Caenorhabditis elegans: one gene and its partner. The protein of the gene in region 2 purifies or fractionates together with the protein of the main gene of each other region. This does not show direct contact. Each region holds a gene or a part of one and is shown on either strand. Other genes may lie near its edges.

Region 1 (4,018 bases), on a different chromosome or scaffold from region 2:
TTCCTTACGGTATTTTCAATCAAACACTAATGTAATCACTATTATATTTACAGAAACTCTGCACGTCTTTAACAAGCAATCCGAAAACTCTCACAGTTGGGACCATGTGTGTTATGTTCAAAGGAAATATTATGGACACAATTTTCAAGGGATTCGATGGACTTAAGAAGAATCTTGAACCAGTTTCATTTTGTAAGCACGTACCTTTCTGTAAATAATTGTTTTCTGTCAATTATCAACTTGTTTCTCATAAAATTATTTTAATACAAACATATTAGTAGTATATTTTTATATTTCCAAAAATTGAAGTCTAGTTACCCTGCACGTGTTTTTTGGTTTTCAAGATACATATATCTTTTTCTATAAACTTGCACAATCAATTGATGAAGTTTAAGACACGTTTGTTATCAAGTTTATTATGAACTCAGCTGACTTAAAACATTAAAAACATCCGTGTTTTTGTATACAGGCAAATTAAATTGCCGATTTTTGGTTGTTCTTTTGGCTCTGACGCTGTCTTCTTCTGGGTGGAAATTTAATTTCAATTTTTGGCTCAAAAGCTGTGAGTAAAATGTGATCGACGTTGAACAGTTTTTTTTTCCTGAAAACTGCATATACACAGCCTTAATGAATTATTTATTCAAAACAAAAGTTAGTTATTGTACAAGATAAATCGAGATCATTGAATTTTTCTTGACAATTTCTTCCATTTTGGCGGGAAATAGTCTTCTTGGTTCGCCGTTCTATTTTTCGGGAACATGTCTGGATCAAAATAGAACACGTGGCTATTGTCATCTTTTGCCAAATATCCCATCCACCATCCATGTGTTGAATATGGAACTGTCAAGAATACAACATCACAATAGATTCTTGAAAAAATAATTTGCATTTCTGGTGAAGAACTGATCAATGAAAACTGAAAAATGATAACAAATTATTAAGAAAGTTTGTACTTACTAAACTCACTTTTTCAGTTTTGTATTTTCTGATTCTCGAGTTCGTAAAAATGAAACGAGTAAATTCCGGAAACGGGCTAGCAATTATCAACATAACATCCTCATATTCATTGGTATCTGAAAACGAACGGCTAAAAATGGTCAAGTTTCAATTAATTTACAATGATTCAGAATTTGTGCAATTGCTTTAACACTGCAGTTCTTATTGCTTTCTAATGTTGCATGCACACAAATTCTGAAATAAATAAATAAAAATAAATTTTAAAATGATCAAAATGCTTACTTGAAGTTGTTCCGTTGAGATTTTGTAATCAAATTTTGTGCTTCTAGAACACTTTCGGCGTCTTCCAATACCCACAAGCGAATGTCAGAACGCAAATTATCAAAATATTTAAAACTTTTGAATCCGTTCCCTGAATAAAAAACAATAGACTTCCAAACTATATTGATCACTCAAACCTTTGACCATCAGACTTGAAGATGTGTCCTCTGAGAACTTTGTAAGAGGATCTTCGTACGAACTATTCTCGATTCCAAGTTCTCTATTCACTGCTGTTGGCTAAAAATCAAATTTATCATCATTTGAAATAATACATTTAATTGTGAAAATTTTTATAAAAATGCACTTACTGGTTCAATAGCAATTAAAAATTGTTGCAGAATCGATGGAAATCTTGTAAACATTGCGTTTGAAAGAGTATCGATTAATTTTGAATTATTAGCAGAATTGATAACTGGAATTCGATAAAGAGTTTTTGCAACACCAAGATGAGAAAGTAGAGAGAATAATTGATCGCCTAAATGGAAATTTATTTTAAAGTATGATTTAAAAGATTACTTGCCTATTTCTCCAGTACTATGCTGAAATCGAATGGTCTTCTGTCTTCGAGAATATCTTCCAAATTGTGTCCGCTTATGAGGATATAGTGAAATGATTATAAGAAGAAGCACGATAATTGATATGATGCATATGATTCTTGATGAATTTAAATTACGTCTTCTTAAGAACATAGTTGGTTGGAACTGCAAATGGCTTTCCAAATCCCCGCAAAAAATATCCAAATACGTGAGTAGTACTGATAGTGAGTACCCGTGGAGGGTCTTTGTTTGTTTTCGTTCACTAACTCACTTCAAAAATAATAATGCAAGTTTAATATTTAAAAAAAAGTAAAATTGTTGAATAAAGAATTGACTGTCATGGTGAATAGAATGTCAGTGAACAAGTTCAAAGTGATAAGAGTCTACTTATATTGACACAAAAGATCAATAAAAGGGTGTAGCACTGGAAGAAAAGGTGTTTTAAACAAACATTACATTTATTTATATATAGTTACAGCGTTTTTTATTATCTAAAAAAACTCAATTTCCAGAATATTCGTCCATTTTCAATGTTGGTTCACGTCATAAGCCATACTTTAAGCCAAGCCAATATTTACCAATGTTTAAAAAAAGGTAACAAAAATAGTTATGAGCAGTATTCAGCACTGCCATCTGATTTCGGATATCTTCTGAGTTCTACACGATCTTAAATTTCTGGCTAGATTTTACTAGTTAAATGTAACTTTTTTGAATAAGAGATAATCTGTATAAAAAAACTTTCAAATGCGATGCATTTATTCTTCCATAATTATACCACGAAAATACAATAAATACATAAATTATACAATAAAAAAACTTCAATCTATACCATCCTTTAGATCAATTGCATGAGACGATACAGGAAGAGCACCTTCGTTTCATCTGATAAATTCCAGAACACTGCCGAGTTCTTGAGGTTCTTCATTTTTTGAGTAGTGTCCACTTCACTGATAATCTTTTCGATGATTGTACGCAAATTGAATTTGTCTGCCAAACGCATCAATTGATCCTGCTTCATTTTCGAAAAGTGGCACAAATGAGTCTCGATATGAGCCGTTACACGTGGCACCTGAAATTGATCGGCCAGCTCCAACATCTTTTCCAAATTATCATCTGAAATAATGAATTCATATTAGTTTGAAGGATTGGATCACCTTTCAATAAAGCTTCATTTCCATACAAAACTGCCAGCATTCTCGAGAAATCTTCATATGAAACTTCATACATTGGGATTTCAGTCAACTTTCCTTCTTTGAAATTCGAGGAGAACAGAGCTCGAAAATATTCAGAATGGAAGCTCAGCAACTGGAAAATTATAAATATAGGACACTGCAACTGCAAAAAAACATCTTACAGCTTTATTGACATGCATCTTTGTACCTCCGATCACTAAAACGGCATCATTCCTTTCAGATGGCTTGAAAAGTTCTTCCAAAGTTAATCCAGAATAATCGGATTCTTTGTAGAAAATTTTGTACTTGAAAGGAATGTTGTACAACCAGTCTTTAGAAGTTTCCAAATTAGATGTGCTGCGTTTTTCATCAACAGAAAAATCAATGCTTGGAACCAACTTGTCGTTGGTTTCCGGGGTGATTGTTCCAAACAAATGCTTGACCCCTTTCTTCTTCAATTCGTCCCATTTTAATTCCCATTCAAATCTATACTTATTCGAAGTAGTTTCTGAGACAAACAATGAGCTGAAAAAGTATTGTATTAGCCGAAGTGGAAAAATCTTGAAACTCACACATTGATTCCTCCACAGTTTGTATCACAGAATTTTCCAAGCACTGATTTAATCGAATATTTGTCGCTGTTGACTTCAACACATTTTATCTTCATTTTTTTTCGAAGTAGTTTCGTTTCGAAGTTTCGAAGTTTTCAAATTCTAACGAAAACAATTAGCACTGATCAAAAACTGAAGAGGAAGAAAAACTCGTGGGACACGTGGAAATAAAGCCAGATGTACGCAGAACGAGTGTCACGCTATTATGGCCTGTAATTAAATTTTTTTTATTAATTTTGAAATGTTTAGTTTACAGTAATAAGTGAAAATTTGTTAATAAGTGTCTCGCATATTCGTGGAAGTTGATCATCAAGCTTTAAAAACTATTAGCGACAAGAATCCGCTTGAAAAATCATATCTCGATGGGACTTCACGGGAACCGCAGAGGTAGAACAACAGATTAACTTTGAATAAATAGAGT
Region 2 (3,801 bases):
TTTCAAGAACATTATCGTTAAGTTTCAGAAAAATGCGCCATGTATAATCAAAGATAAATCCCTGGCCGAGTTTTTGATGTTTCTAGGCCAGCGTGGCCGCGAATGGAGAAACATCGGCCACTAATTTTTCATGGTGGCGCATTAGATCGTGGCGGGATATCGGAGTGTCGTTTCTTACGATTTTTGTGAATTTCCAGTTGTTTCCGCAGTGTTTTTAGCGAAGAGAATAGAAGACATGTTGGATTTTTTGAAAACGTTTTTTTTTCAATTTAAAATTCTCATAAAATTTCCACATAATGCTAGAGTTTCACGTAAAAAAATGTTTTTTTTTGCACATTTAAAAGAAAACCAGCAAAGCGTTCAGGGACTATACTCGATCTGCTTATGGAGCTTTTCTAAAGCATATGTGGGTACAGCCGGGCTTCAACCGAAAAACTCTGGTGCAAGTTCAATTCCATATAAATCATCCGGAGCTTAAAGGTTCCACTTCCCAGCTTGCGGCCGCTTTGGGCATGTGGGCGGCATGCGTGAGTTATAATATGCCAGCCGATTTGGTGATTACTGGAAAAGTAGCTTACTGTGGTTTAGTTGGAAAGTTAGTTTTTGTTTTTCATTTCGTAGCTAGAAATTTAGAAAACTTTTAGTACAGATTTTCATTCATGAGTTTGAAAAACTAGTACAACAGGAGCATATTTTCAGGTTGGCGATATTGAGGCAATAACGCGAGCAGTCATAGCTGAAAAGATGAGATTATGATGCCATTGAATAACATCCAAGAACTGCCAGAGGATTTGCGACGTCAAACCACAATTTTTGGCGTTGCCATGATGGAACAAGCTATCGCAAAAATCAAACGAATGAACTGATCATACAAAACTTTTTTTTGTGTATAAAACATGTTTTTAAAAACTTTTTTTTCGATATTCAAAAAAAAACTAGCATTGATACAGCCGTGATTTTACTATTTTTCGGAAGCTCGTAAAATTTCCGATTTTTTAAAACCATGTTATAATTTACTCTCTGGGTTCACCAAATATTTTACTCTGAAGCCAGCGAGTAAATTATACTGTGAACCCAGAGAGTCATGAACCCCAGTCAGTACTGAAAAAAAAGTTGAAAAAAATTTTAATTTTAAAAACGATTTTAGATAGTGCCATTTTGTATTGCAGAAACACAAAAATTCTGAGAATGCGTATTGCGCAGCATATTCGACGCGCAAAATATCTCGTAGCGAAAACTACAGTAATTCTTAAAATGATTGATGTAGTGCTTTTGTCGATTTACGGGCTCTATTTTCCAAACGGATTAAATTGATTTTTTTAAAGAATATTTAAATAAAGAAAATGAAACGAGAGAAAATTCAAAAAGAAATTCATTCCCGTAAATCGACACAAGCGCTACTGTAGTCATTTAAAGAATTACTGTATTTTTCGCTACGAGATATTTTGCGCGTCAAATATGTTGTGCAGTACGCATTCTCAGAATTTTGTGTTCCCGTGATAGAGAATTCTTTATTTAGTACAATTGAGTGTTTTTCCACCTCAATTTGCAAAATTGTTCAATGAGCTACAGGAAATAACATTGCCTATCGAATGAGACTAGTTTTGAGCAGCTACGACAAAAATTCGTTTTGGCTTTCAGTACAGATTCTAAACTGGTCTATTAAAAATGTGCTACGGTTTCGTCAGAGATACAGTGATTATGGCTATCACGATTCGGGCGTGTCTTGGGAACTTTTTTCACCGAACATTTCCTCCGCCGCTTGTTGTATCCAGTTCATCAAAGAGAACAACGCAACGAACAACGTTTTTCTGCAGTTCTAATAGTGAGTATAAAAATGAGATGAATATCTTCCGAAAATCTCATTCTTCCTCATCATCATGTGGAAATTCGTAATTGGAAGTGTCTCGACCGCAGCGTTTTTCGTAAGCGTCTGCACTATTTATTTCTCGGTTTCGATGCTCGATGAGCTCGATTCATTTCGTTTGAGCATTCGTGATGAGTTGGAAGACTGGAAGGAGGTCAGCGATGACACGTGGCAACGGTTGAACGATATGACGTCGAGAAATGTTCCAAAGAAGACGAATATTTTGAAGGAATTTGTGAGAGGAAAGAGAAACGTCGGAAATGATCAGTGCAGTGAGTAACTTTTTTCTGAAAAGAAACTATTATTCGTTGGAAAGTCTAGAAAGGCTTATGATTAGGCTTAGGCTTAAGCTTAGGCTTCTGCTAGCTTGTTCTTAGGCTTAGGCATAGGCTTAGGCTTAGTCTTAGGTTCAGGCTTAGGCTTAGTCTTAGGTTTAGGCTTAGGCTTAGGCTTATGTTTAGGCCTCGGCATAGGCTCAAGCTTATACTTAGGCTTAGGTTAGGCTTAGGCTTAGGCTTAGGCTTAGGCTTATGCTTAGGCTTCGGCTTAGGCTTCTGCTAGCTTGTTCTTAGGCTTAGGCCATCTTTTTCTCGCCAATTAAGCTCCTAGTTCAAATTTTCCAGATTGCGCTGAGCCAACAAAGAACTGCCCAGCAGGACCACCAGGAGAGAAGGGATCTCTCGGAAATCCAGGACAACCGGGACCCGATGGAGTTGATGGTGACAACGGTGTGGATGGAGACGTCGTGATTCATGATATGCCAAATCCTAAAGAATGCATCAAGTGTCCAGCAGGACCACCAGGACCACCAGGACCACCTGGACCACTCGGACCACGTGGTGACAAGGGACCGTCCGGGCCACGTGGAGCACTTGGAGATCAAGGAGAAACTGGTCCAGTTGGAGAAATTGGAGATCAAGGACCACCAGGATCCGCCGGAAGAGCTGGACCAAGAGGTCAAGCCGGACAACCAGGAACTATCGCAATTGTCGGATTGGCTGGAAGACCAGGACCACAGGGTCCACTTGGAGAGCCTGGAGCACAAGGAGAGCCAGGAGTTGATGGAAAAGATGGAGCTCTTGGAGCACCTGGAAGAAAGGCGGAGAACGGAAGACCAGGAAAACGTGGAAAGGACGGAGTTGCAGGAGTACCAGGGACACGTGGAAAGGAAGGAGAAGACGCGGGTTACTGTACTTGCCCACCTAGAACTGCTTGATTCGAAAAGTGTAAATAAAGTATTTATTCTTCTTGGAAATGTTTGAAAATCAGCATTTGTGAAATCTGAAAATCCGATTTGCCAGAGCTAGAATAGTTAGAGTGGCGTCTATTCCCACTGTAATTACATGCTAGTAAAACGTTTATTCTTCTTTGAATCTAGAAAAACTTTTAAAAAGATGTTATCTAAACTGGCTGCAAAAGCTTCTGAGCGACTCCTTCAAGACCCTTGCTCTCCTCGGTTGCGGATACCTGAAATTTTGAAGTAAAGGGGTTCTGTAGATAGAATAAAACTACTGGAGAAGGAAGCTACGGACTACTGTACTCTAAAGGAGGAACTTTGAGTGGAGGGTGTACGATAGGACTACTGTAAGGGAGGTGTACTGTGGTACGAATACTGTAGTCTCAATCTAGGATATAGCTACTGTAGGAGGACGAGTGCAGGTTTCTGTGGACATACGGTTGTTTGTAAACTGTAGCGAGGACAAGGAATTATTCAGTGAAGGGAGCGGGTACTGAAGGACTACGGTAGGAAGGATATACTGTGGTTACAGAACTGTACCTGCAAATTAGGATAAAAATACCGTAGAAAAAACAATTCAGGTGGGTGACTGTGGTCATACGGGTGTTGGAGTACTGTAACAGATTGCAGGTATAATAAAAGTTCAGGGTGTAGTATAGGACTACTGTAAGGAATTGTATACTAGATGTACTGGCTA

The links.
Region 1: the proteins of col-49 (region 2) and T25D10.1 fractionate together in Caenorhabditis elegans (co-fractionation; one large-scale study listed by BioGRID). This does not show direct contact.

What each region holds. Positions count from the first base shown.
Region 1 is NC_003280.10:6,401,640-6,405,657, reverse strand, and holds T25D10.1 (uncharacterized protein), read right to left. Parts: upstream 2,258-4,018; 5' UTR 1,968-2,257; coding exon 1,799-1,967; intron 1,754-1,798; coding exon 1,587-1,753; intron 1,516-1,586; coding exon 1,416-1,515; intron 1,370-1,415; coding exon 1,240-1,369; intron 1,192-1,239; coding exon 1,118-1,191; intron 1,074-1,117; coding exon 967-1,073; intron 917-966; coding exon 680-916; 3' UTR 618-679; downstream 1-617. Other genes in the region: spp-11 (Saposin B-type domain-containing protein), read left to right, coding at 1-9, 54-218; btb-2 (BTB domain-containing protein), read right to left, coding at 2,650-2,927, 2,969-3,119, 3,169-3,511, 3,559-3,653.
Region 2 is NC_003279.8:3,135,329-3,139,129, forward strand, and holds col-49 (Cuticle collagen 49), read left to right. Parts: upstream 1-1,856; 5' UTR 1,857-1,880; coding exon 1,881-2,139; intron 2,140-2,490; coding exon 2,491-3,083; 3' UTR 3,084-3,119; downstream 3,120-3,801. Other genes in the region: K09H9.8 (uncharacterized protein), read right to left, coding at 3,269-3,334. UniProt on the Caenorhabditis elegans protein: Probable cuticular collagen-like protein. Nematode cuticles are composed largely of collagen-like proteins. The cuticle functions both as an exoskeleton and as a barrier to protect the worm from its environment.